Rhinolophus ferrumequinum: one gene and its partners. The protein of the gene in region 1 purifies or fractionates together with the protein of each later gene. This does not show direct contact. Links are inferred from orthologs where the notes say so. Each region holds a gene or a part of one and is shown on either strand. Other genes may lie near its edges. The genes, in order: PPP6R1, ANKRD44 and ANKRD52.

Region 1 (9,645 bases):
CCACAACAGTCCTGAGGGGACTCATGTCGCTTCCTAAGCCCTGGCCAAGCACACCTGCAGGTGGAGTGGAGGAACAGCCCTGTGCGCAGGGACAGCCAGGAGGGGACAGCCCTATACTACCACACGCAGGGACTCACCCCAGCCGCCCTCCCCCGCCCCCCAACTTGGGCCATTTTTCTGAGACAAATTTGAGCACCTTATGTTTGTTCATTCCAGGCCAAAATCCTGTGATGACCTCTCCAGTCTCTGCTTTCAAGGTCCCAAGGGCCCTCGCCAACCTCCAGTTCCGGGACATGTGTCCCAACCCGCCCAGCATGTACACTGTCACAGTAACGACACACGTGCAGTACACACGCCCTAACTAGATGACGAACTGCACAGAAGTTCCTCGCCAGCTGCCGTGAGCACCCAGGGACAGAACCTAGCACAGAACCTGGCACTCGAAACATGCTCAGCAAAGTTAGCTGAAAGACTCCCTGCCTACAAACAAACCACCTTTCCCCAGGCCTTGCCCGAGGCGGGAGGCTGCCAGAGCTGTCAGGGGAAAGGGAGTGGTGCCCATCCCGCCCCCCAGCCAAACTCAGGGGCTCCCTAAACCCCAACCCCAAGGTGGGGCGGGCTGCACTAGGGGTGGAGTGAACTACAGCTCCAAAAGGAAACCAACCAGTAGCCCCCTCTGCAAGTGCATGGCCACCCTTCACACGCAGGCAACCCCTACTTGTGCCCAGAGCCTAGACCTCCTTGAGGGACCCTCCCACACATCCTACCGCATATGATGACAAGTCTGCGACAGCGCCCATGCCACAGGTGAGAAAAGTAAGGCTCAGCAGAGGTGATACACCAGCCCCAAGGCTCTGATGGCCCAGGGACGGACTTCCTGAACTGGGGGGACCTGGGACCAGTCATCTCAAGGGGCAGCCACCGCCGGGGGCCACAACAGGCAGGGACCTGGAAGTGGTGAGATCACCACGTGTTTCTACACTGGAGACTTTCTCATGGCAAAAAGGAGACTAGAGAAGCCAAAAGGCCACCCAAGCAGAGTGAGTAAAGCAGTCACCGAGGATCACAGGCCATGTGACTCCATCCACATCAAATGTCCAGTAAGAAAAAACCACAGGGACAGAAAGTACATTAGTGACTTTCAGGAGCTGGGAGAGATGGGAAAGGAGAATGTGGGTTTTCCTTTTGGGAAAGGATGTTCTTAAAGAGCCCCCCAAAACTTCTAAAGTCAGTTATACACAACTTTATTTATCATACTTCAGCTGAAAGTATCCATTGTGGTGAAGGGCGCTCAGCTCTGTGACTACTAGGAACTACTGAATCACGCACTGTAAATAGGTGAATCGTGCAGTGTGTGAATTACATCTCAACAAAAACTGTTACCAAAACAAAACCAGAGCTGTCTGAGTGCCATGCGGGGCCAGGCCCAGGCCTCGCTCCAAGTCGCCGTCACCAGTCACCCCAAGCTGAGCAGGCGCCAGCTGCCCACCGAGCTGAAGCACATGAAAGGTCCGCCCTGGGGAGCCTTCCCAAGTGGCCCCTCCCCACCTCCCTACCACTGTTCCTGAGCTAAGCAGGCACCCCACAGCTGGGGGGCAGGGCCCAGCTAGCATCTGCAGAGAACCTGTGTACTGTACACGGCACTTTCTCTCATCTCATCGAGATGACAAGGTGTAGCACTGTTCTTATTCCCATTTGATAGGGATGGGGACCCAGAGAGGGGAGCCCTGGCCACCAAGAGGCAGAACCAGGACTCTGCGAGCCCTGCTCTTCTGACTAAAGGCCCACCCACTTCCAGAGCAGACGGTTTGTGTGCAGACTATGGCCCCACCCCCCTCCCCTAATCTCCCCCCACCATCAGACAACAGGTCGGATTTCCCTCCCAAAGCTGGCTTTCCAGAGAACCAGGGTGGGGTTGGGAGGGGTGGGGGCCTCCACAACAAGAAAGGAGGAAGCTGGGTGGCATGGAGTATGGATTCCCGGGGCCTCCCAACCCAGGTGGCCCCTCTGAAAATCAGGAGGTGGCAAGGCCCAGATGCAATCGAGTGGTGGTCGGTACCTTACACATATCACTTCTCAAGCTCTACACAGAACGAAGATGCAGGTATAGAACTAGAAAAAAGAACACACTAAAAAGAGGAAAAGAGAAAAAAACATTCCTGGCCACAAACTCAATTCACTCTAGCTCCAAGTCCTGCGGGCCAACCTCATGTTCTCACTTAACGCAAGTTGCTGGAAACCCTGGGGATAGGACAGGTGGTTTCCTTCTCACTCTCACGGCATGAACCTAGGCCAGGCAGCTGGCACCCCAGACCCGTTTCCAGTCTGTGAAATGTGGGCACAGCCCACCAGGAAGGCCCATGCTGTGAGGATAGCTGGGTCAGGCAGGTGACAGGCACGCGCTCGGCAGGTTTTGGTCCCTTCCTGTCTGTCCCTGAAACCATGCCGAAGCCCAGATACTTCTAGTGGGAGGGAAGGAGACCGCCATACACTGGGTGACGGTGCTAAAAACAGAAGAGTAAGACAGAAAGACTCTGACCGTTTGCCTGAGTGATTCAAATGTGCTGGTGGGCACTACATACCCCGCCACCCCCACCCTTTGCAACGTTTAGCAAACTTCAAGAAAACGGAAGTGACTACCACTGGTTTTTAGAAACTGGATGAAAACCAAGACTCTAGCTGCAAACGGAAGGGGAAACTATAAATGAGAAAGGAAGCCATTAAAAAACAAACAGCACCTGTCCATCCGCCAGCTCTGCACCATGGCCTTGCGCTCTCACTTTGCTGTGCTCTCAGGCCTCCCCGCCTGGGCTCAGACAGGGCCTGCCTGCAGCTCCCACAGAGCTGTCCCCACTGTCACTGCTGCTGCCACCACCCGTCCAAACAGCTCCGCCTGCCGGGGAGCCCTGGGTTGATCCTTTATCTGCCACCCCTTCCTGTTTGCCTTGGCCCCAAAGTGCCCGGAAGTGGAGGTCAAGGGCGCAGAGGCCTCTGGGAGGGCCTCCAAAGTGGCCACCTGAGCTGCTCTGAGGCTCAGCAGAGGATCCAGCGTTGGGAGAAACCATCTGGAGCTGGTGACTGCTGCCACCCTCCAACCAACCGTTCTAATGTGACATAGGTGAATCCCAGGAGGTGAATCCCAGGAGGGGAGAGAACCCCCTGGCTCTCAGCCGTGGCAGGGGCATTTCAGAGGATGGCGAGACCACCTGCCTCCAACCCACTGTTAGCTCTCAGCTAAATCTGGAAAGGGGGTAAGGGACTTCAGATTCCAAGGACAGGAAGATGGGGGCAGGAGTGTGTGAATATGTACGTGTGTGTGTGTCCACAAAACCCAACGAGGTAGGCGGTGGAAGAAGGGGTCACTGAGGCCACACAGGAGGACAGGCTGGGACCTTACTGTGACTCAGGAAAACTGTGTGGGGGGTACCCAGTTAGAGTCAGCTCAGGTGCCTCTCCCTCTGACCCCAGACCACATTACCCTAAGGGAGGTGGCCATGATGGTCCGTCCCCAGGGGAATGTAGTAATTTGGAAACAACAGACTGGGGACACCTGGCCAAGGCCTGAGGAGGTGCCCGAAAGCTCACAATCAGGATGGTCTCCTGGATGGGCCATGGGTTCAAAGGAAAAAAGGAAAAGAACAACAAACAGATTTTGAAATGCCCCTTGGAAAACAGAGGTGCAGACTGAGTGTTACAGGTGATCCAGTCAAAAAGGCCTGGGTTCCAGTCCTACCTGTCCAAACTGAAATCTCTAGAGACCTAACCCCACGGAGCCTGAACTCCTCACCTGTGAGACACCTCAGGGTGATGGTAAGACCACATTTCCCATGGGAAGGTCCATAAAACTGACATTCAAAGGGAAAACTGGCTCAGCCTCAAAAGGAAGGTGTGTCCTCAGCCCCAGTGCAGAGCCTGCCCACGAGTCCAGGAGCCCAGAAACACCAGGAAAGCTTCTCATTCTCACCAACGCTTCTAGGTCTCTCTCACCTCATCTCTTGCTGCCACCCGCATGGCGCGCAACACTCCTGCCACACCTGACTGCTCCTCTGTGCCCTCGCCTCTGCCCTGGCTCGCTGCTCCCTCTGCCTTCCTCCAGCCCTTCGAGCCTGACTAGCTCCTCCTGGGTCCTTCAGGCTTCAGTGCAGACACCACTTCCTCCAGAAAGCCTCCCTGACTGCGTTAGGGGCCTACTCCACACTTCCACAGCTTCCGCGGTCACCGGGTGACAGCATCTGAGGGCTCTGTGACAGCATTTGCCTGTTTAGTCACCTGCCTCTCCCTGCCAGATGTCCACTTCCCAGAACCTAGCATAAGGTCAGGCCCACAGCTGGAGGTACTAGTTGAATGAATGAAAACTGAAGGTCATTTGGCCATAGGTCCTAAAGAAAAGTTGTAGGGGATAGGGGGGAATGAGCATTCTCCTCCAATGGAATCAGTAGATGACCCAACAAAAAGAACCAAAAACAAGTCAAAATACACAACACACAGCCACTCACAGGTAGTAACAGAGCAGACAAGCCAAAATTACATCACACCCAGGCAAGAGATCAGTGTCCCCACCACAGCCCCATTGACAGGGTCTGACACAGTCACGGGGACCATTTTGTGCACTGTAGGATGCTGAGCAGTGTCCCTGGTCTCTACTTACCAGGTGCCAGTAGCATCCCCCAAGTTGTGACAAAAAAAGTCTGCAGCCATTGTCAAACTTCCCCTAGGGGACACAATCACCCCCAGTTGAATACTACAATAGGTAACCCCAAACCAAATACTAACCTTAAAAGCTGCTGATTCTGGAGCACTTCCTGTGCCCTGCAGATTGCTCCAGGCTCCTATAAACAGCGCACTGAACCCCCAGAACCAGCCTGAGAGGAGACCGATGTCAACGCTACTTTATACCCCACTGGCATTTCCTTACAACTCTGAACACCATACCACACCTGACAACCCATCTTCCTTTAGACCAGGGGTGTCAAAACTGCGGCCCGCGGGCCATTGTTAATTGGCCCGCAGCAAATTCCAAAAATCTATTTAGTTTACTTAAATAAACCAGGTGAGGCAACACGTACTTCACCTCGAGTGAGTGGCCCGGCTGTTGGTGTGTTTTACCGCATACGGCCCTTGGTGAGAAACGTTGAAAACAGTTTGGACAGCCCTGCTTTAGACAAACACCTTGCCTTTTGGGCTGATGTTAATACAGTAACGTTTGCGTCCTTAGCAGAGCTGTACAGTAGAGCAATCAAGAAAGACCCAGCAAGAAGGTCACCCTCGGGAGCCTAGACAAGTAGCACCCCCAAGGTGTCAGGCCACTCCCTCCCAATACATTGCACTCTGGGCGCACACCTGCTCCTGGGTTCCCACCTTCACATATCTGCACGTGCTGTTCTTCCACCCAGAAGGCCCTTCTTCGCCCCCGTCCATGTCAACTCCTACTCATCCTTCCTGGACAGAAAACGCCACCAGGAGCCAGTCTCAACAGTCCCTCCTCAGCCGTGGGGCCTTCCACAGCACCCTGACTTACCTCTATCACACCACTACTATTGTGACTGACTGGCTCTGCCTTTGTCTCCCAGGGCTGGTCCCTCCCTCCCTCAGTGCCCAGCACCAGGCTCCCTGCCCTGCCCTCAGGAGGCCTCATCTCACAGAATAAGACTCAGTGGTGGCAGCTCCACAGAAGTACCGCCCAAAGCCCAGCTCACAAGAAGCCGGGGCCATGGGGCGGGAGAGCCTGGTCAGGGTGAAGGGAAGCCCCATTACTCCAGTCGTCCTGAGTCCAAGGACGACAGTCAGAGGCCATGGAATCCAGGATGGCCGGCGACAGGGACAGAAGGGTAAGGGGTGTCCAAGGGAACGGTCCGTGAGGAGGAAAAGATGAGGGTGGGTGGGGGGTAGAGGAGTAAGAGTAGAGAGTAAGGAGGTAGGAGAAGGTTGGGGTGTGTAGAGAGAAGAGACTGGGGAAGGTGGGCTAGGGGAGGGGAAGGCCAAGGAGACCCACTAAGAGACGGAAGGAGAGCCCATGGTAGGAGGTGTGGTGGTCGCGGGCGGGGGTACGGGCCTGAAAGGGAAGGAGGAATGGGGTGAGCTGGAGGTAGAGACTTGGGAGATTAAAGGGAAAGACTAAGAAACGTTAAGAGCCTGTGGAGAGAGACTGAAAGACGGGGGCTGATGGGGAGAAACTGGGAGAAACCCCAGGGAGGAGAGGAAGGGTCCGAAGAAGGGCTGGGGAGACTCGACGGGTTCCGAGACGAGGCCCCGGGGAACCCGGGACGCCCGGCCGTGGGGAGGGCGCCGGGGCGGCCGCTCACCTGCGTCGGGGGGCGGCGGCTCCTCGCACTCGAGGCTCATCGGGGCGCCCCCCCCGCCCCGCTGCCGGCGGATCCGGCCCTGCTCAGGGGCCCGGTACGTGGGGGCGGGGGGCGGCGGTGTGTAACGCTGGCGCAGACGCTGGGGCCGGGGCTCGCGCACGCGTTCTCGGGCCTACGTAGGGGAAGGCCCTCGCGCGCCGAGTTCCAGAATTCGGGGGTCCGCGCCGGCTGGGTGCGGGCGGGGGTCCGAGACTGCCGGTGATGTGGGTGCGAGTCCCGACCCGGGGCTGAAGGAAGTCAGCGGGGTCGCGAGGCCCGCACAGGCTCTCAGCGGGGAAGCCGCCCGTCTCCTGCGGCCAGCGCCCCACTGCAAAGCAAAGGCCGGTCGGGGAAGACGTCCTCCACAGTCCGAACAGGCCGCAGTGCTGAGCGGAGGCCCACAGAAGCCAAGGGCTACTTCCTCCCCACAACCCCCTCCCCACGCCGGCTGGGTTTCCCGGTTTTGCAGTCGGATTCAAGGCCTCCGAAGCCCGGCTACCGTCCGCCACTATCCCACAATCCCCACAGCGCAGGGGCACGCAGGAGACCCCGCCCTCCTGCCGTCGTCTCGGTGCGCGGAGGCCGCGCGCCCGAGCTCGGCAGTGCGCGTGCGCCTGGGGCTGGCCGCTCCCGACCCCGCCAATCCGGAACACCTCCTCTTCCTCCTCTTACGGTGCGCTTGCGCCTGTTGGTGCCAACGGTCTCCCCAAATAAACCCAGACAACCCAATGGGCAGGCGCCACTGCACACCCGGTAGCATTGCTGTAAGACTCCGGAGGCGTTCTTGCCCCAGAATTTCTCTTCCCGCTCGCTTCTGGCGGAATTTATTCGTTATTCTGTCTCCTCCAATCACATTCAGGCTTTGGCTCCAGAGTCGAGCTCCTGGGGAATTCGCGCCGGGTTTCTCTCCAACGAGGGCCAGGCGCCTGTGACCCCGGGGGGGTTCTTTCCAGACATCATCTCTGTGCCTCAGGCTGACTTCAATCCCACCACCAGACCTTTGCCCAGGCAGTGTCTTTACTACAGACATTTGCTGCTCAAAGAATTCTCTAACATCGACTGGAAGGGTTCTCCCAGACCTTGTATCAATATTCATTAAGGTCCCATATGTCTCTGGGCCTCAGTTTCCCCAACTTTCATAATTCCCCTTTGCCCATATTACAGGCCCATAAGGATAAGACGAATAAGTGGATGTAAAGATTTAGCTTTTATTTTTAACCTTCAGTGTTACCTTTTTCATTTCGGGGACATTTTATTGAATGTTTCACTATATTTACCTGTTCTAGATGCTTGTTCTCTCTTTCAAGGATGCCAATTATGCATTTGTCCTTCACATCTGTTAGCTTCTCTTTAATTGCTTTAATCTTTCTCATTTCCTCCTGCATTCACTGATTACCATGTCTGTAATTTGATTGTTCAGCCATGTCCCTTCTGGTCCATGCTATTTCCAGTGTATTTGTTGTACATGATTTTTTTTGGTCCTTGTATCAGGTAGCGACTGTTGTGTGACAGATAACCATAATAACCTCAGTGGCATGTATCATGTTTGCAGCTTTGAGCTGCAGATGTGAAGGTTGGCAAGCCGAGGCCCGTGTTTGCCCAGTGCTGTCTGTGACCAGATGGGCAAGAGTGTCTAATGCTGAGATGAAATAGCAAGACTATAGCCACTTCCTCTGATTGGCTCTGATAGTAATAAAGGTGGCAATTGATCTCCGATTCTCAAATCCTAAAGATACCTTTCAGTTTATCCTGAATTTGGGAAGAGGGGTGAAAGTAATTGGTCCCTACAAAATCCCAAGTACAAGTAAATTCCACACCAAAGAAATTAGTCTGCCATCAAACAGAGCTAAGAAGCCAGGATACAGGACGTAGGAGTACAGCTTCGGAATTAACCCAGGTCTGAATCCTGCCTCTGTGAACTCGGCCACAAATTAACCATCTTGGGCGCAGCTTCCTTGTCTGAAAAACGACAATGGTCAGGCCTCGTGGTTGCAAAGGACGCAACCTTAAGCTAAACTGAAAAGCAACTTACTAAAGGGGGTGAGGCAGTCCCTCTCCCAGCCCCACCATCTCGGAGAAGGCTAGAGAGAAGGCTCGGTACTTTGCACTCCAGGAATGCCAACCACCGGCTTATCGGGGGCACACGGACTGGCCTCCACCACCAGTGCAGGCAGAGCCACCAGACCTCTCCCGGCACCTGCTCCTTTCTCTATCACTAGCTCCCCAGTAGGCCGTGCAGCGAGCTCTGATTGGTGGGGCTGAAATCACGTGATGTACATCTGTACAAGATGCTGGGAAAGAACATGGTTTCCGCCTTAGGGCAGGTGGCGTGGACGTCTAATGTGGGGGATTCCTCAAACCGAGGAGAAATCAGAAACGATGGCTGGCCGAGAAATATGGATGTTCCCCCACACCCTCTCGAGAGGCCGGGAAAATGAAAGGAGACAATGGCTCCGGATTTTAGAGAGCAGCACTTTTATTATTCCCAGGTTCTGCCCACTGCCATCCCCTCCAGTGGCTCCCCAGACCTCCTAAGATCGAGCCCCTTCTCACCTCCCCAGGCAACCTCCAGTGGAGCTGACAAAGGTGGCAATGAAGGTGGAGAAACACTTTTATTGTAAGGCAATGTGGACACAGAATGGTGGAATGGCGTGCGAGCATGAAATGGGGTCCAAGGAGCTGGTGCCTTTCTCAGCACCCCTCCTAGAGGCAAAGATGGGCTGGCACATCCCGGCCGGGCACCAACAAGGCCCTGTTCTTCTTTGGGAGAGGGCCTCATGGGTAGGAGGGAGGCAAGAGGCCTGGGGTTCCCACAGAGAGGGGGCTGGAAGCAACCGAGTTTCACCGATCCATGCTGTCATCCGTTGGGCTGGAGAAACAGGTCTGTAGCAGCTTTTCACAGAACTCCAGCTCCTCCTAGATGGGGGTTAGGGGTGGGCAAGAGCCAGAGCCCTGAGGGCACAGGCCAGCCCCTGCCTATAGCACGCCCTGCACCCAGCGGTGGTTCCTCTTCCCTCCCGGAAACCTCCCTGCCCCAGAAGCCTCCCAGGGCTTTCCGACCTCTGCTCAGCTCCATGACTCACTGTTTCTATTCTCACCCAAGTCTGGACTACAGGGTCTCCCAGCCTCCGGTCAGACCCCATTGGTCTGTCATCACATCAGCGCTCTTGGGCTCCTTCTAACTGCCAGATACAGCTGACCCTTACTTATCCCTACTTAAAATCCCTTCCACGAATACAAACCCCAGAAACCAAGAATGAAAGCCTTGATGGATTGGACCACATAAACATAAAAGGTATTTGCA
Region 2 (9,876 bases), on another chromosome or scaffold:
GGTAGAAGGAAATATACCAAGATGTCAAGAGTACTTCTCTCTGAATATAGAGACTTCAGATGGTTTCAACTGTTTTTGTTTATTTAGCTTTCTGATTTTTCTATAATGATCCCAGTGTATGTGTTAATGACCGAGAAAACAAAATCACCAAGCTACCGACCAACACATTATTCACCAGGGTGAGGAGGTGGAGCAGCTAACAGAATAAGTCAGGCACAAGTCTGGCAGGAGCAAAGGCCTCAGAGCAGCTCCTGACTGTCACGGAAATGGGTCTGGCCCAAGAGTACAGGAGTGCAGCTCACCCAATGGCTTCCTAGGAAATAGGAACAGGCATCCCTGAGTCCTGTCACTGCACTGCCCTTTCAGCTATTAAAAGTATAGCTGTGTGGTTAGAGCTCCTCCTATGCAATCAGACTGCCAGGGTAGGACATCTTGCTAGATCACTTCCTGGGTGTATGATCTTGAACAAGTCAATTAGCCTCTCTATTCCTGTTTTCTCATCTATAAAATAGAAAGCATACTATCACCTACCTCCTCGTGTGGCTGTGACGATTAAGAGAGACGATTCACAAGGGCCCAGCATACAATAAGATCACGATAAATATAAGCCATTATTAGGTCTCTGCCATGAAAGACCAGCCCTCAACTGCACTCCCCAAACCATGTGAGTGGATCCCAAAACAACGAGAGAATGGTCCAAAAAATAAAGCCTTTCTTTTTCCCTTCTTCTCTGCTGAAAGCAGGACTGGAGCACAGTGTTTGCTGTAAGCCCAGAGCTCTAGGGAATGAAGGAGGATGAGGGCAGACAAATAAAATACACCAGCCAGTCCCAAGGCCTCACACCATCAGCTAGAAATCCTGCTTTCAAAGTTACAGGATTTCTAGTGTCTTGCCCTGCCACAGCTGCCAGCCACTGCCTTTGGCAAGGAGATGGATGACTCAAGTGTGAGCGAGGACTTGGCAAGGGGACACCAAACCAGAAGGCCTCCAGGCAGGAAGCTCCAAAAAGGGCCACCTGCTGAAACAGTTTGTCTACAGGCAGCCCTCGAGAGATGGAGACAGCATTCTGCTGTCACTAGCAAATCCAGATAAGAATACATATTGAACACGTCAAAGATCTAACAGAACTTACCATTCTGGCTTCATCACTTTGAAACACTTTAGAGAGGTCCAAGTTGAAGATAGGACCTCACTGCAGTGCCTTAACTATGTGACATAAAGAGCAGCCCCCCAAAGTTGAATAGCAAATCAAATTGCAAAGAGTTTCATGGCTAAATTGAGCCAAAATGCATTACATTTGTATGTAACAGAATTTTTTTCCCCACACTTAAAATTACCTCACTTTATCAAAGATATAAATAAACCTAATGTCCTTTTGGAGAAAATACTTACATTACTATATTAATTACATAGGTGAGTGTGTTCTATGCTGTGTAAGTTGACCAATTCGTTCTGGTTTACCCAGAATTTTCCTGGGTTTAGCAACAAAAGTACGATATCCTGGGAAAATCCTCAGTCCTTGGCAAGCCAGGATGGTTGGTCTCCCTACCACTGCAAGAAAGATGTTGTGTGAAGAGGAAGACAGAAGACACACAGTTACAAATGCAGAAGTGCTAAATGCCAACTTTGTTTGTTTGTAGCAATGCTACCAGTTCCTTCTCATAGTAAAAAAAAAAAAAAGAAAAAGACTGAAAACCACACTTGACTCTCCCTCATCCCTTTTTTTTGACTCTTCCAAAACAGAGTTAGGAAAGTTTTCCTCATCTTGCATGCTTGGGATGTCAGTGCAGGACTGACTGTGGAAGCCGTGACCAGCGACCCTCATTGCCCAACAACCTCCTGCACTCAGTTTCAGCAGGACAGGAAATGTCATCTTCTTTCTCTCCTTACTTTCGGCACATTTAAAAACATACCAAGACGATCTGTGATTCGGGTTATCAAGAGCAAGAATGTGTCCTCAAGCTAAATATCCAAGAGCCTTGGCAAAAATCAAGATTCACCTCACAAATTGGGCATTAACCAGATGAGGGAGGAGTTAGAATGTGATTGTTTTACAAACAGCTGAATGGAGAGTTAGGCACAAACCATAAGGCAGGGATTCCAAGCAGACAGCTCCCTACCCACAATGATGGAGCAAAACTTTTGTAGTAGGGGTTTAAGCAAAGGATTTTTAAGTCTTTGGTGAGTTTAAGAACCAGCTTCTAAGAATTTAGTTTCAAACTGAAAGTTACAACTATATAAGGCAAGAAAGACCACACACTTCCTGGACCTAAAGCCACCCAGAAACCATGGTTGCCCACTACCCAGAACACCTCTCACCCAGCTTTCCCCTGGGTTTGCACCACAATAAGCTGGCAAGTTTTAGATGCTCTTGAACCATAGAACTCCTTCAGTTCCTTTTATACATCAGGTAATGGAATGAAATGAAGGATATACGACTCTTTCTTTCCCTCCATAGTAATACTAGTTTGTTGGGGAAAGGGCGGGATGTGTTCAGAAATATTTTAAAAGACAAACAGTTTTGAAGGTCCTACTCTGAAAAGTCCAGAATAACTTCCTTTCTTTCTAAGACCAAGTAACATACTCTTCCCTAGTGTTGATATTGATTTAGAAGAGGATGCCTTCTTGTAACCCTTTTAACACATCCAATGACAAGACAGATGTGTCACCCCGAGCAGAAAGCACAAGAGCCTGGAAGGCAGGAAACAGGAGGTAGTCTCTGCCCCCGGGCCAAGAGTGGTGGTCCTTGAGGAAGACATACTCCAATTCTCCAGATCTCAGTTTCTTCATTTAAAAAATGAAGAATGTGGTCTAAAATTGTCTTTAGGGTCCCTTACAACTCTAAAATTTTACGTGAAATTCTTTTGTGTATGTGATAACCATAACACCGACTGGAAGCATTTTTTGTAGTTTATAGGTTTAGGAATAACAGACAAACATAGTCAGTAACATGTACTAGCAAAGATGACAAGACCAAGGCAGACTAAAACTGGAAGATTTAAAACAAGCAAATGTCCAACAGTTGTCAAAGTACGTGACCAAAAGGTGGGGGAAATCCTAATATCAACTTACAAACACTATTAAATGCTCTGGAACCAATGGGAACAAGCAGATCCATCATAATTACCAGCTGCTCCTCCTGCTAAATTTAACGATAACATGAAAGTTCAGTTCAGTGATCCCTCTCCTACAAAAAGGGAGGAGGGTGCTGTAAATACTTCGGGAAAGCTTTGATTCTGGAAGGCAGGAGAGCAAATCAGTGGTTCCTGATTGCATTTAAGTCGCAGGATGTTCTGGATACTAACTGGGAACGGCGAGGCACCAGATGCAACCCACCAGAGAAGTATGAGATGTTTACTACCAAGGGCGGGCATGTTTGACCGCGTATGTCAAAGTCAAGATTGTCTCTTGGACTACCAAGCCTCCAAAACAATGTTCCTTTCACCATCCATAAATAAACGGCGTGGGGGGGTCGGGGGGCGCAAGCTGCTTCCTTTTTTTTTTTTTTCCGTGTAAGAGGCTGCAAAGGGTTTTGTCGTGCAACTTTGGTTGGGCACCTGTGAGTGTCAATGTCCTAAGAGCAGCAGAGTCCGCAAAGGTAAGATGTTTTCATTCCACAGACCTGCAGCAAGGACTATCAACGGATTCAGCAAATATCCCCACCTCTCCGAACCAGGACTCCAGAGCTGCCCTGAGTGATGTCTCAGCAAGGGAAGCAACAAAGCTGATGGACACAGGTAGACGGGTAGGTAGCCCATCGCCTGTGAGTGGAGCCCGGGGTGGACTTCACTTCCTCCTCGGAGAGACCCGCCAGAACCGAGAGCGCTTTCTCCAAAGGTCTCCATCGCGCACCACGCACACACAGCCTCTGGGGCTACTAAAGAGGAAGTCAGGTTGTCATGTCAAACGAATAAAGACAGCCAACAACACAAGAGCCGCGGTCTGGGCCGGTCTCGGGTTTGGCGTGGCTTGGCTTGCGGAGGGGTCCCAGGATGCGATCCTCCCTCCCTCTCCATCCACCGTTCTCCTCCCGGCGGCGCGGACGAGCCTCCCCTGGGCCGGCAAAGGCTGTCGGAGCCCAAGCTGCGCAGCACGCTTGGAGCCGGAGGAGCACCTCCAGCCTCCCCTCCCCCTGCCCAGCCCGGGCCCGCGGACAACACGCACCCGCGCACACCCGTACCCCAGCGCCCAGGCTGCGCCTGGCTGCCGCCGGCCCCTTCCCCAACCGGAGCGCGCAGCTCCGACGGCCCAGGGCGGGGACAGCGCAGGGGAGGAGAGCCGCAGCCGCCGGCATTCGGAGCGGCGGGCGGCCGCACACACTCCTCCCCTTCGCCGCGAGTAAACAGCTCGCGGGCGCGCTCCGCGCCGCGCCTCCATCCCCCCGCCGGGGCTCCGCGCCGCCCCGCGCCCGCCAGTCCCGCCCGCCCGCGCCGCCGCCCCCTACCTGGTCGGTGAGTTTGAGCACTGCCATTCTTCCGCTCCTTCGCGCTCACACGCATACAGGTCCCGAGTCCGCAGATGTCACGCCAGGAGCCGGGGAAGCGGAAGGGATTGCCAGTGGAAGAGAAAAAAATCTGGCTCCCGAATTTGACAGCCCTCCCCCTGCTCCTCCTCCCGCCGAGAGGCTGACACTGGCTAGTGGGGTTTGCAGCGGAGCCCGCCCGCCTTTATACAGGAAGTACCGGCTGCTGCCAGCCAGGCCGCCACTGACATCACCGTGCGCGGTTCGTCTGGGCCGACGCTGCCTCCTGCCGCCCGCAGCCGCGCCTAGCAGCCCGCGCCCGCACCGGGCGCGCCGCAGTGGGGCCAGACGGCCGCCTGCCTCCCGCACCTGCTCACCGGGCCGGGGCGAGCTAGACCCGGGCCCCAGGGCCGCCCCCGCTGCCCTCCGGACCCAGGGCGTGCACAGTTAGAGGCTGACGGTGATCCACTTTAGCCCCGTCTCTCTCTCTCACACACACACACACACACACACACACACACACACACAGTCACACACAGACACAACCTGATGAGCAAGCCTGTGCGGACACACCCGAGGGGGCAAGAAAGGCTGCTACTCACACACCACAACTTTAATGTGGGAGACTGGGTCACACCCCTTCCCCTAAACCTCTTCCCCTAATCCGAAATCAAATTACCCACACTCCAAATTATTCCCACCCGGTCAAGGACCATTATTCTGACGCTGTCTTTGTTTAATGCGGGGAGGCCCTGGACACACTGTAATTCTTTAACGAGTGTGAGTGTGCGTCCAACCCTTGAGGGGTGGGGATAGGGGCTCTGGCCCTTCCACCTTGTTCTCCAGCTGCCTCCCAGCTAAACACACACAGACTCCATCGTTAATACAATCACTGGCTTTTGTTTTGGGGAAGGCGGAGGTGGAGTAGAGTTACTGGAGAAGAAAAGAGGTCCTAAATTACCACATTAATGGGGCATTTGAGTGTTCCCACCTGTCCTGACTCATCCATTTTCTACAAAATCCAGTTACCAGGCTCTTCAACAGATAGAAGACTCAGCTGTCAAACAGCATGGAATACAAATACAATAGTGATATTCATAATCATAGTAAGTTCTGATGCTTCTGGAATTTGGAGCAAACATTTATTCATTCAACGACTTACATACTCAGTGCCTACTTTGTACCAAGTTCTGCTTAAGCGTAGTATGGAAGGGGAAGCATAAACAGGCAAGATACCTAGTTGTAGGAGGTGTCAGACATAAACCACATAGTCACCACTAATGCATGTAATAATCATAAACTGAGATAAGGGATCACACGTGAAAAAATGCTTCTGAAGGAATTCATGACAAAGGAATCAAACCAGACTGGTGAGTGAGGGCAGACTTCCCTGAGAAAGTGACAAGAGTGGAGATTCTGGAGGAGGAAGAGTAAGGTAGGCAGGTGGGTGGGGGTACTGCCCCCAGGCAGCCGCAGGTGCCCAGGCAGGCCAGAGAACAAACCTGCAGGGCAGTGGCATTGAACGGCAAACCAGAGCTAGAGTTCCTGGGTCAAAACCAAATATCAACCCTCATTCACAAACCAAATGTGACTCTTCCACCCTACTTTCAGAGGCTCCCCCGAAGATTCCATATGTGAAAGGAGCGTAGGGAGTGGTAGCATCCTCCAATTTATCACCTAACCATGGAATTGTGATTCAAATCATGCAGAGAAGGGGGACGAAGAAAGCAAGCTCCTGGTTTCCACGCCTGGTATCCTCAATGATACACCGAGACAAAAATGTATCTCTTCATGGCCTCCCTCAAATAAAACAGATTGTTTTTGTTGCATCTATGAGGCACTTTTTCACTGCTGTTGTTTACAGGTCTATTTATTAATATCATCCTGCATGGCTTTGTAAATAAACTGATTAGGACACTGAATTCTCTACTTAAATAGAGCCATCTTTCACAAGAGTGATAACACATGATTTAATTTTGCAGATGCGCTCAAGATCCATTTTGGTTCATTCTGGGCATACCGATACATAAGTTTTTGGGGCCCAATTTGAAAGGAGGAGGAAGCTGGTCTCAACCCTATCAGACCCAACATCCCCTTTTATAACTAGAATTTTAAACATTCCCTTTATTTTCCTGAAATGAAATTCATAGATAATATTATCTACCTATGCAAATTACAAAAAAAATCAATATTAATGTTCTAATTGTATAATAAAGGAACAATAAAAGGAAAGTCATTTATAATTATGTGTATTTCAATAAGTAAAGGCTATAGCACAACTCTATTAGAAGACCAAATAAAGAGTAGATGTTTTGACCTGTATGCAGAACCATCATGCCTGAGAGAACTACAAATACAAACAAACATGAATGTGTCGTATTAGTAACTCAAATATCAACATTGGTATTGTCATAGGTGAGATAACTTGGTGAAAGGCTGAAAGGTTCTTTGTCAAGTTCCAAACACAATAAAGGCAAAGGATTGGGCTTAATTTATTGGGATGGGTACATTAACAGAAACTCTGGATTTAATGTGTAAGCTCAAGCATTGAAAGTGACGCCAACAGTTTCTGCGTTGGTTAAATGAAACTGACTCGGTGGTGATCTATGATCAGTGAGATCAAGACGACAGCATGTCCCTGGTATAATGCAGAGAAAGAAATTCAAAAAAGACATCCAAAGGTTTATAGAGATGGAAATGTTGGAGTGATTTTATCATGTGTAATCTGTACACCCAACCTAGTCAATTTCTAGGCATTGAAAAATACATTAGTAAGGGAAGCACCAGAAAAGCTCTGTAGTAGTTGGATATGATAGTGGGAGATGCTTCAATTGAGATGGTTCCGTGATTTCTATGATAATGGGGTCCTAGGACCGTTTAATCGGCAGGGACAAGATACTAGACACACTTACTACAATGGGCAGCAGAGACAAAGTAGTACTAAAAGGTCTTGACGTCCAGGGATAGATATTTGGTAACACCCTAGGTGGCCCTGGGAATGAAAGAGATGGGCAGACTTTAGAAATATTCCTTGATCTTTATAACAGGCAAAACTCGAGTTCTGCTGCCTGAAACCTGACTTGCGCCATCAAAATGAAAAGTTATCCCTCCTATTCAGTTTCCATACCTCAACCAGTTCCATACCTCAACAGCCACAGAGCCCCTTGATTGAAGAGAGGCTGGTCCCCTTAAGAAAGAATCTGGCAGCATTGCTGAAATTTATACTACAAATAGTCATCGAAGCCTTCCCCAAAGGAAGTAAGTTATGTCATTTACTAGGGTGACCATGCACGGGGAAAAAGGAAATACCCAGATATTTCAGGGATTACTAGACACTGTTCCTGAATTAATGCTAATTCCTGAGGATCCACTATCACTGGGTCCACCAATCAAAGTGGAGACTTAGGGTAGTCAGGTGGTAAATGGAGTTTTCACCCAAGTATCCAATAGGTTTGCAGATCTACTCTGTGGCTATTGCCTCAGTTCTTCAATGTATTATTGAATAGACATACTCAATAACTGGCAGAGTCCCCACATTACTTCTCTGTCCCACAGAGTGAAGGCCATTGTGGCGGGGAGGGCCAAGTGGAAGCCTCTGGGAATTCCTCTCGCTACCAGGATAGAAAACCAAAAGCAATACCACATCCCTAAAGAGATGTAAATATTGGCACCACCATAAAAGATGTGCAGGATGCAGGGGTGGTGACACTGTCACTTCCCTCATCTAACTCACCTGTTTGGCCTATGCAGAGGCAGGTAGATCTTAGACAATAACTAGGAATTGTTGTAAACTTAATCACGTGGTAAAGCCAGTTGCAGATGCAGTTATATATGTGCTATCTTTACTGCAGCGAATCAACACAGTCCTAGGTACCTCATATACATCTATTGATATGGCAAATGCTCTTTTATCTATTCCAATTTGCATCTAAAGCTCTTTCCTTTTATATGGTAAGGCAAACAGTACACCTTTACAGTCTTGTCTATGGGATGTAAATTCTCCTGCTCTCTGCCACAATCTAGTCTGTAGAGATCTTAATCACTATCCTAAAGACAGTAAGTTGACTGGACCTAATAAATAGGAAATAACAGATACTGTAGATGCCATAATAAGACACATGTGAACCCCAAGAAAATTTACCATCTAAGTGAAGTTTCTGGGGGTCCATTGATCCAGACAACATCAGGCTATCTCCTCCAAGGTGAAAGACAAATTGCTGCACCTTGCACCACCTACCACTAAAAATGAGACACAATACTTTTTGCGCCTCTGGATTTTGGAAGCAATATATCTACCATATTTGAGTGTAGTGCTCTGACCCATCTAACCCAGTAATGCATAAGGCTGGCACTTTTTATCAGGAATCAGAGAAAAAGAAGAGTGTAGCAAGACCCTATGAGCCAGAGGAATCCAATGATACTTGAAGTGTTGGCAGAAAACAGGGATGGTATATGGAGCCTCCGGCAAGCTCTAATGGAACAGTCACAGTGCAGCCTTCCTTAGTTTTAGAGCAAAGCCATGCCCTCTTCTGCAGATAACAATTTTCAATTTGAGAAACTGTACCTAGCTGGCTACTGAATTTGAACGACTGACCATGAGACACCAAGTGACTATGCAACCTAAGAACTGGATGCTATCTGACCCACCAGCCCATAAGATTGGGCATGCACAAGAGCAACCCCTCATCAAATGGATATGGTATATAAGAGACTGAGCTTGAGAAGGTCCAGCAACTTGGGCAGAAAAGGGTTGGAAGATTGATGACAAGGAGGTTTGAAGAAGGGGTAAATAGATGCACTGCTCAAAGTAAGCACAAAAACATTGTGTTTTTCTGTAAAATGGGTTAAGCTTTAGGCTAAGAGAATTACAAACAGATTTTTACTTACATGAATATCCAGTGGGACATTTGAAATCCATATTGTGAGATACCTGGCATTGCTGATTTCCACCCAATAGACATTTAGAACATCCCCATACTTTGTGACAACCCAATAAGCCCTTCAGATTTCAAAAAATATTCCCTAAGGGGCAATCCTGAGAACCACTATACTATAGTGATAATAGCCTATGATTTTAATAAAAAAATCCACCCAATGTACTATATTCCCTTTCACTGTGGTTGTTTTATTTACTTAATTTATGCTTTTTAAATTTTTATCAATATAAATACATGCATAATGTATGCATATGTATATATTCATGTGTGTATATGAATATGCACACATATATATCTATGTGTATATTAACATATAAATATACAAATATATATCACTGTAGTGGATGCTATGGTGTGCCATCCAGTTCCCACCTTCAGGACCAAAGTCCTTAGCCCCCAACTGCTGGGAGTATTGCCTGCTGACAGCTTGAAGTTCAACCTTCCTCCACAAATTGCTCTCAGCTAAAAGTAACGGCT
Region 3 (9,609 bases), on another chromosome or scaffold:
CGCAGTCTCCCGAGTCCATACCATTCTGGATGAGGATCTGGGAGCGGGTGAAACGGCCATGGATGGCAGCCATATGCAGAGGACTTTTCCCTTCTTTGCTCTGTGGAAACATGGCAGGTTTTTTGTTTGTTTGTTTGGTTTTTGTTAGTGCACAGCACAGAGAATGCCTGGTTCCCCTTAAAAAAGACACATCCCTGAGGACTGTGTGGTCATATGGATATCTTCTCAGTCCACTCTCTCCCAGGTCCCTGGCAAGATCAACCCAGGAGGCAAGTGGACAATTCCCCCAGAGAGTTACCCAAAAGGGAAGATATAGTCAGGACCCCCAGGGCCAGGCTCCTCTCCCCACTGGGCTCAGCCTCCTCCCCTTCAGGCACCTGGTAGTTGACGTCAGCCCCGTTATTGACCAACAGCTCCAAGCAGAGTGCGCCATTGGTGGAGACTGCAGCCACATGTAGTGGCGTGAAGCCCTTGTCATTCGGCTGGTTGACATTGGCTCCTGCATTCACCAGCTCAATAGCCACAGCATCCTGGCCCAGGTAGCAGGCGATGTGCAAAGCTGTGTTTCCAAAAGCGTTGGGCTCATCGATCTGGATTTCCAGGGGTGAGGGTAAGGGGGTAAGGGAGGTATCAGTTTAAACAGACAGCCTAAATAAAGAATCCCGGAGATCCAATGACTGCCTCAGCCCCCTCAGGTTCTTGACCCAAAGGACTAAAAGCACTATTACTTAAGGTAAATATTATTCAGATCCTCTCACCACATACTCCATGCCTCCCCAAACCACACCTTCATATCTCCGTAACAGACTCTGACCTCCAACTCCCTGCCCTTAGCTCCCAGCCCCCGTGCTCAGCACCCTGACCTCAGCCCCCATCCGGAGCAGGTACTTCACCACTTCAATCTGGCCACTGGCAGCAGCTGTATGGAGCAGCCCATAGCCCTTGCGGTCCTTGCAGCCAAGGTCTGCTCCCCGTGCCACCAGCAGTTTCAGGACCTCCAAATGCCCTAGGAAGAGGATGCTCTCAAAGAGGGTGCACTCTAAGGCCCCGAGTGCCTCTCTCTGAAGGCTGCAACCCCCTCTCCCTGCCCCCAGGAATCCTAAGTGTCAAATTCCTGCTCTTCCTGTGAATCCTTTCTCACCTAGGAAAGCTGCCCAGTGCAGAGGCTGCCGCTCCTTTTTGTCACAGACATTCAGGCTGGCTCCCTTGTTGAGGAGCAGGTTCACCGTCTGTATCAGGATATGAAAGACACCTGTTCAAAGCCAGGTTCAAGCCCTCAATGTACCTAAGAGCAGAGAGGCCTCAGCTCCTGAAAAGGCCGAGGCAGCCTAATGTCCTTGTTCTTGAGCAGAATAATTTGGAGAACTAGAGGGAACAGAGGAAGCAGGCACTAAGGAGATTCCACACAGATTCGGAAGTTTGAGTCAAAACTCAAGGAGGTCTCTTCAGGTGACGGGTTCTTAAACCCTTTTGAAAAGTCTTTGAAAATGTGTTGAAAGACATGGCTCTCACTTCACGAAAAGGCATATATACCAACATTTTCCATACAACTCCAGACAGTTTATCACCCTCTTGAATTCCAAGTCAAGAACTTCAACCCCACCTGACCATTCATTCAGTGCTCCTACTGAGGCCTGATGGCCCAGAAGCCAGGGAAGGTGAGTAGGAAGGAAAGGGAGGCTAGACATAGACTGGGAGAGGTCCTCACCTCTAGATGCCCACTATGCACTGCGTGGTGCAGGGCACTGCGCCCACTCCTGTCAGCCACGTTGAGGCTGCTCAACAGTGGTGCCAGAGCCTCAGCACACTTGGTGGCCCGGTTGGCGGCAGCCACATGCAATGGTGTCTGCCACAGCTTGTCCCGGGCATTCACATCAGCTGAATGTGCCAGCAGCAGCCCCAGCACCTTCTATTGAGTGGCAGGGGATAAGAGAGATGACAGAGGGGGAGCAGGAGGTAAAACATAAGAAATGGGAAGAAGAACAAGGTCAGCATGGCATATGTGGCCCCATTTCCCCCCGCCCCCAACACAGTCTCTTCTCAGTTTTCCAACATATCTAGCCTCTTAATACCTACTTTCCATCTTCTGGGTCTTCTTAGAGCTTAAAATCTTCCCACTTTGCTAAGGAAATCATGAATCCCTTCTCTTCTTCAAGCCACCTACTATCATCCCCAATCCAGACCCTGAAAATCGTCATCCACACACACAGCCACTACCAAACAAGAGGATCCTAAGCCCTCACTGCTCCTAGGAGAGATATACAATCCTGTAAGGCCCCTAACAGCTTCCTTCAGCCCTTCCATAGGCAACAAGATCATTTTCATTACCTAGGTAAGAAAACAGATAATGGCTCCTCTCCAAAACCCAGGCTAAAATGGCCCCCCTAATCACCACTTACCCCATTTCCACTGGCCTGTCCCACCCCTTCCCTGTTGGCTGGAGCCAGGGAAGTGACCGTCTAACCAAGAGGGAGGTCTACCTTCCCCACTCTTCAGGGTTGATGGACCCAACTGATGAGGCATGTTTGACCCCTGTGCTGTCAAATTTCATGCTGTTGGAGGGGCAGGGATGCAACAGATCACTACCCATGTCCCTCCATCACAAGGAAACAAATCTCAGTACCCAGAGGGGGATCAGACTCCAAGGTAGCCCCCCAAGGGAGGGATGAGTCACTCAGGCCTGGCAGCAGGGCCCCCTGCAGTCTGCCAGCCCAGTGTTAAGCTCTCCCCTGACGTCACATTAGCTGGCAACACTCAGCCCCCCCTTACCAGCCAGTTCTAGGGATAGGAGGGAGGGGCCAAGGGCTGGTCTTCTCCCTAGCCGGAGTAGATCAACTTGCAAGGTAAAGGAATGAGACTCTCCAACCCTTAACCTTCACCTTTAACCACCTCATCATCTTCCGAAGGGTGAAAAGAGGCGGGAGACCTGTACCTCATTTCGGGAGGCAGCAGCACGATGAAGAGGGGTCAGCCACAGTGTGTCCTTAGCGTTGACATTAGCACCTGTGGGGATATAATTTCCTCTTTTGAGGGCAGGTGGAAAGAGGTAGAGAAGGAAGCCGGTAATCAGGCCAGGGAATTGGGATGGAGCTATAGCCTCGCCTGGACCAAGCACCAGAGAACAATCCTTGGATACGAAAAAAGAGGCTCCTCCCCTCAGATCCCCTCCCTAGGTGCCACACCTTCCAGCTCCCCACTTTCACCTGACATCAGTAGCAACTGGAGGATGGGGACATCGCCTACGTAGGCAGCAGCATGCAGTGGGGTTCGCCTTTCTTGGTCCTGATAAGGTGAAAAAGAGGAGTGGCTGTGGGGGTGAACTAACGGAGGACCCCAGCCCAACACCTAGAGCCCCAGTCTTCTCCCCACAACCTCTTCCCATTGGTTCTGCAGCCTCCTAAATCCCAATCCTGGATCACTGCAAGCACCTAGGGAGTGTGGGGTCAGGGGGTCAGGGCCAAGGGGCCTGCGAAGCAGTCTCCTCCTTTCAAGAGGGGAGGGGTCGCTGCAGACACTGTTGATTCAGAAGAGAACACCGTTTCTGAGCATCCTCAGCCTCCCCGATCTGTGCTCCGAGCCTGATCTGTTCTCCATCCCTAACGGTAGAGCAGGTGCCCATCCCGGGGTGGAAAGAGCTACGGCCTCATCCGAACCAAGGAGACACGGAGCCGCCCCACTGGTGGAGAGGGGTCTAGAACACCAGGGCCCAGATTACGGGCTCGCCATCCTCCCTGATCTTAACTCACCAGCACATTGATGTTCTCCTTCTGCGAGAGGAGGGAACGCACTTCCTCCACATCTCGGCTAAAGATGGCCTGGACCAAGGGCGGCTGCAGGGAGAACCGGCGTTCAGGGAACGAGCCGGAGCGGAACCCAGGAGGGGGGGCGGGGGGACACCAGGTTTGGGGGAGGCATCGTTGGACGGGCTCCGCTCTGGGGTCCTGGCTGCAGGGGGCTCCCGCGGTGTCTCCGCGGGTCGCCAGGACCCCAAGGACACCGGCTCAATTGAGGGGAGCGCGGCATGGGGCGGGGCGGGAGCCGCGGGAGACCCGGGCTTGGGCCCAGCCTAGGCCGCACATCCCCGGGCTCGCGTGGCGGCGGCGACCGGCCCTGGAGGGAGGAAGCGGGAAAAGGCAGGAGGGCTGACCTGGTCCGTGATGCTGAGGATCCCCATGGCCCGGGCCGGGTTCCGTCCGCATCGAGCTCCCGGCGGCGGCGGCAGCGGCTCCACCGGGGACACCGGGCGGCCCAGGCGGCGGCTGCGGCGGCTGCTGCTGCGGGGAGAGCGCGGCCCCGCCTACCGGGGGGCGGGCGAGCGGGAGCCCGCAGCGCTCCCTGGCGGCCGTCCTGGGCCCGGCCGCAGGGTCCTTGGCGCCGCCCCGGGCCGCGGCGCCCTCCGCCCTGCTCTGGCGGCCGGAGCGGCCCCGGCTCCCGCACCTCGCGCGCTGGTTTCCCGGCTTCCCAGGCCTGCCGCGTTGTGCTCTTCGCTCCAGTCTGACGGCCCCGGGATCTCCCCACAAGTCTCTAGCGGCAACTCGGGCTTTGGCCCTGCCGTGCCTTCCAACCAAATGGCACCAAATGGCTGTCCCGATCTCACCCAGCCCACAATGCCTCCGCAGGAGCAAACTCCTCGGGTCAGCTATTATACACCCCCAAATCCCCCCAGACTTGGGGAAACGCGCGTGGAGATCTGGGGATTATATATGGCAATAGCCTTAGAAGGAGGGAAGGCGCCTATCTCCACTGGCGGTGACATGAGTTGGGTAGGAAGGAAATAGCAAAAGTGCTCAGACTTCATAGAGAAAAACCCAAGGACTTTACTGCTGCAGAAAAATCCCCACAAAGAGTCTAAGACAACCAGCAGCTGAAGACCTCCAAGGCCAACAGAAGGGGCACTTTTCGACTCCCTAATTACTGCCAGGTTAAGGTGGTAGGGTGGCGGCTACCTTTTAAAAGGCTCAACGGTTTCTTCCCAGAAAAGGGTGGGGGTGCTTCCCCTTCCTCTATTGAGAGCAGCCAATCAGGGAAGATGTGGAAGGAGGGCGTCCCAGCCCAGAAAGGGAAAAAGAGGGAAGAAAAGTGGATATTGAAAAATTGGTATTATTTATAAAAGGTGATTCAGAGACCAGTTCAGAGCTCAACAACTCAATAAGTGTATTAGGAAGAAGTGTAGCACGAAGTGTCAAGGCATAGATATAAAAGCCCTCCCTCACTCTCCAACAATCTATGCCTCCTCGTTGCTTTCAATATCTTGATTCCCTCTGGAAAAACACACAAGACATTGGTACCAGGGCTATTTCCTGGAGAGAGAAACTGGGAAACAGGGAATGAGGTGTGAGAGGGAAATTTACCTATCACTATATACCTTTAATAATGTTTTGATTTTTTACCGTATTGAAAATAAATGCGATATTATTGAAAATATTACCTCTTCCAGGAAGTCTTCCCTGGTTAACAGGTTCTTTCCCTTTTGTTAGGTCTCCTTGACATACTTAGTTTACACTGTCACAATCACGTTTAAATCGCACCCTTTTGTTCATTTCACCTTATATCTTTGACGTATGTACAAGTACCCAGTAGTTCAGAATGGATTTTAAATTCCTTGTCTTTCGTTCAACACAAGACTGCACATTGTTTGTTTGTTTTTCTATTAAAAAAGGATTTTGAACTCTGAAAGCCAGGGTATACATGCAATTATTTTTGTAGCTCTAGCAGAACACTACATGGGAAGAAGCACTTAACATTTGATGATGAAGGAGAAGAAAGAGAAGCTGAAGAAGTAGAAACCAAAGGTAGTTGGGGATTAGATGGATATGGGTGTTGGGACATGCTGACTTGGCTATTGGGTCTGATAGACCTTCCAGGAAGGGCTAAGCTAGGATATGGCCTAGAGGATGGGGAGGAGGGGACTATGTGGCCTCCATTGCCTGAAATAGCTCTTGGTAACCTGAGGAATTGGGAGTCAGGAGTTAAGCTGGAGTCACGTGCCTGGTTCTGGCGTGGGTGTGGAGGTGAACAAGGAAGGTTGCCAGCCGGGTTCTTTGGGCAGCTGGAAAGAGGAGGAAGGGCTAGAAGAGTTATTTTTAATATTATTCAGAGCACAGAAAGAGGATTTCCCAGTAGGGAAAAAAGGGATATGATGTAGGTAACACAGATACTTCCAGGGCTCAGGGAGACGCACAGAGTGGAGGCGAAGGAGGCCAGAGGTGGTGGCAAAGCCCTCTTATGCAGACAGTCCTTCTGGATTCAGCTACTGAATTCATATTTGGATAAATCTGGGCAGATGCCTACTTGTCCTTAAGACTCAATTTTCATTCTTCTAACAAATGTTGATTAAAAACTCACCATTGTGTACAGCCTTATACTAATTGGTTTGGAGGTAAATGGTATCTATTTTTGTGGAGCTTATAACTTAGTAGAACACACACGTACACAAGAAACAACTAGAGAATATGGGATATATGCTACTTTACATGACATCAATGTTAAGGAATGGGTTTAGTCAAGAGGGTCTTCCTGGAGGAGATGTATTTTAAGTTAGTACTTGAAGGCAGTTATTGATGTACAATGATGGGAAAATGGCATGCAATCGGTTGTTTCAAGTACAGGGAATTTCCTAGGAAAAATTTAAACGGCAGTAATTAGTTAATCTAATTAGTAAGGGGGCAACAAGCAAATTGGCTTGGCAGGCCTATTGTACCTTGGGGATTCTGCAGCAGTTAACTCGGTTAAGGCGGAGTGTTAATGAGGTCACAGTTCAGTCGTGTATCCCAGTTAATTTCTGTCTTTTATCTGGCCAGATCCTTCCTCCTCACTCTAAGCAGCTGTCTCACATGTGTAAGCCCTTAGTCAGAGAGAGTGGGGCCAGACAAGAGAGTGGGGTTGGAAAGAGTAAATCTGTTCCCCAAGGTCATATGCCCATCCAAGAGAGGCTCCATTTTATCATCTTTGAACTGGAAGGAGGTACCGTATCTTGGATGGTTGGGGTGGGGGTGCTGAGGGAAAAAGAAGAAATGTTAGGAGAGAAAAAGAAATTAGATCATTCCACCAGTTTGGGGCTTTATACTCCTGTATATATAAGGATTAAAACACCTTCCTTACAGAATGTTAAATGTAAGCCAGAGTTCAAGGGAGGGCTCCTGCTCCTTGAAATTCAGATAAAATGGGCTCAAACTTTAAATCAATCTATATCCAGTGGAAGGCCCCAAATTAATGCCAATCTCAAGGAGTGGGGGGGATTTGGAGGATTTATATCTGTTTCCAGGCCCCTGTTTTGGGCAAGATGTCTCTCTTCCACACCAATTAGATCCAAAAGGCAACACTGTCTTTATTTTATCCCTGCCCCCGCTTCCCCCCAACACTACTCAGACAAGGCTTCCCTGAATGTGGAGAGCTTGACTGAGGATTCTGAAGGAAAGCAGAGGAGGGGCTTGCACTGTAATAGCATAAACATCTTTAAATGTAACAGCAGGCACCAGCATTCTTAAAATGTCCTTCCTCTACTACAACGTGGGAGAATTTTAATGGCTCTTGTACCCACCTAGATCCAGCTCTAATTGCTGATTTCTCTCTCCTCTCTCCATTTTTTTTCTTTTCTTGTCCCCACTTTTATTAAGAGCATTTCCTGCCCTCCCCCGCCCCATTATGATGGAAAGCAGTGGGTTCCTGGCCATGGGGTCTCAACCTTCATCAAGTGCACACTTTTCCAGACAAAGATATTTCCAGTAAAAAGTAAGTCTGGTTCTTCCCCAACTTTTTTGTATAAATGTTAAAGGAGAAAACTATGTAAAGTCTTAGCCCAGAACTTGGAACGTTCATTCCTTTTCTCAAAGATGTAAAACATAGCACTAGGCACTACGGAGTCTACAAAGATGAACAGAACTTACAGAACTAATTATATAAACAAGGCAGAATATGATAAAGGCTCTAAGAGAGTTCAGATCAACAGATATCTACTTTTGACACGTCCACAAAGTCGCCTTTGTGTTTATGTATCCAGTCAGTGATCCCAGAGTAGCCAAACAGTTTGCCTGGTGACCTCACGTCACCGGGCCACGTCTACATCTCAAACACACATTCCATGCCCTTTCTCGCCAGAGGTGTGAAACTACATCTCCCGACAGGCCACGTTGTCCCCTTGCTTCCTCCCTCTCCCAGTGCCGAGCCATGGCAACGGCGTGACGTGGGGATACTGGGAGCTGCCGGAGCAGCGGTCGCAGCTTCAGTTCTAGCTCACCCCACCGCCCGGTAGGGAGCAGGGCAAGAGGAGCCGTAGCCCCTCGCCACCCCTGCGCGCCCGGGCTCTGAACCGGCCTGTCGGTCGCTTCCTGCCACCCTTCCTCTAGAGTGAGGAGGGCGCAGCGGGTGGCAGAGCCGTGAGGGCCAGGGAGGGTCACGCGCATGGCCTCGGCGGGCGCGCGGCGGCTCCCGGCCGGGACCCGCGCAGCGGCCCAGCGCTGCTGCGGCCTCCGGCTCCACCGGGGCGTGCGCCCGGCCCCGCCCCTGGGCCCTTCGCGACCGACGCGACCAATGAGGTGAGAGGGAGGCGCGGGAGGCCGCGCGGAAGGAAAGGGGGTCGCTTAAGACCCTAAAATTCTGCGGCAGAGGGTTGCAACCCTGGGGTCTAATGTAGAGCTTTGGAAAACACACTTTTAAGTTGTTCGCGAGGGGAAGTCCCCGGGGTGGGTGGCCAACCACTTCTTGCCCCTCGCGGACGCCCTGGCAGCAACGGGCTTGGCGAGGCCCCGGGGACGGTGATGCTTCCTAGCTTTCAGCAGTAGCATAGCCCCCACTCAAAGACAACTGGCGGTTCGCATGCACCCCGCTTTCTCCCGTTTCCTCCCCCGGCACTGTCCTCGGCTGCCCTCGACCTTTCGCACTCGTGACTGCCTGGCCAGGGAGTCTGGCGGGCTGCAGCAGGTGGTAGGGGAAAAGCTTGCCTGGACGACCTTCCTCTGGGATGCGCCCCAATTCCCCTTCACCTGGGAATGGTTGAACACAAAGAATTGTGACGTTGTCTCTCCTTTCCTTTTGACCTTAGATTTCTGATTTCCTGCAGCCTCCTCTTGCCCCGGGCTGCCCAAGTCTTGTCGGCTGAGGCTGGCTTACCTCCTAGCCGTTCCTTCATGGGCTTTGCTGCCCCCTTCACCAACAAGAGAAAGGCTTACTCTGAGCGTAGGATCATGGGGTGAGCATCCTCCCCTGGCCAGCATCCCTCCACATTCCCTTCCCCTCATGTCCTGGTTAGAATGTAAGGGTAGCAATAGTGGGCAAGATTCATCCCTCTCCCGGCTATATTACTGATCCTTTATACTGCCCTGCCAGTCTTCCAACGTTAAATTCCCTCTTCTTGGTTGCATGCATGTGCAAAGTGAAACTTGCCTAGAGTTGGACAGTATAGTACCATAAGACAACAGGGTTATTATTTCTTTGCTGACCTGACTCTGTTATGTATTCTGAGTACAGTATAAAATAGCTAACACTTTTTGAGCACTTGCTGCTGCTAGCAGGTAGGCCACTTAAGTGTTTTACATAGATTTTCTTATTTGATCCTCTCAACAAACCTATGTATCAGGTACTATTATTACCTCCGATTTGCAGGTGAGAAAA

The links.
Region 2: the proteins of PPP6R1 (region 1) and ANKRD44 purify together in Homo sapiens (co-immunoprecipitation; 5 studies listed by BioGRID and IntAct, counting the BioPlex papers as one, with this or other methods). This does not show direct contact. The link is inferred for Rhinolophus ferrumequinum from reciprocal best matches to the Homo sapiens genes PPP6R1 and ANKRD44.
Region 3: the proteins of PPP6R1 (region 1) and ANKRD52 purify together in Homo sapiens (co-immunoprecipitation; 3 studies listed by BioGRID and IntAct, with this or other methods). This does not show direct contact. The link is inferred for Rhinolophus ferrumequinum from reciprocal best matches to the Homo sapiens genes PPP6R1 and ANKRD52.

What each region holds. Positions count from the first base shown.
Region 1 is NC_046298.1:48,431,968-48,441,612, forward strand, and holds the start of PPP6R1 (serine/threonine-protein phosphatase 6 regulatory subunit 1), read right to left. Parts: upstream 4,109-9,645; 5' UTR 4,012-4,108; coding exon 3,988-4,011; intron 2,887-3,987; exon of another isoform or gene 2,739-2,886; intron 1-2,738. UniProt on the Homo sapiens protein: Regulatory subunit of protein phosphatase 6 (PP6). May function as a scaffolding PP6 subunit. Involved in the PP6-mediated dephosphorylation of NFKBIE opposing its degradation in response to TNF-alpha.
Region 2 is NC_046291.1:33,252,221-33,262,096, reverse strand, and holds the start of ANKRD44 (serine/threonine-protein phosphatase 6 regulatory ankyrin repeat subunit B), read right to left. Parts: upstream 4,634-9,876; 5' UTR 4,472-4,633; coding exon 4,445-4,471; intron 1-4,444. UniProt on the Homo sapiens protein: Putative regulatory subunit of protein phosphatase 6 (PP6) that may be involved in the recognition of phosphoprotein substrates.
Region 3 is NC_046293.1:55,591,883-55,601,491, forward strand, and holds the start of ANKRD52 (serine/threonine-protein phosphatase 6 regulatory ankyrin repeat subunit C), read right to left. Parts: upstream 4,284-9,609; 5' UTR 4,175-4,283; coding exon 4,148-4,174; intron 3,831-4,147; coding exon 3,747-3,830; intron 3,283-3,746; coding exon 3,204-3,282; intron 3,004-3,203; coding exon 2,933-3,003; intron 1,910-2,932; coding exon 1,709-1,909; intron 1,230-1,708; coding exon 1,142-1,229; intron 1,007-1,141; coding exon 864-1,006; intron 591-863; coding exon 378-590; intron 101-377; coding exon 22-100; intron 1-21. Other genes in the region: COQ10A (coenzyme Q-binding protein COQ10 homolog A, mitochondrial), read left to right, coding at 8,401-8,534, 9,041-9,187. UniProt on the Homo sapiens protein: Putative regulatory subunit of protein phosphatase 6 (PP6) that may be involved in the recognition of phosphoprotein substrates.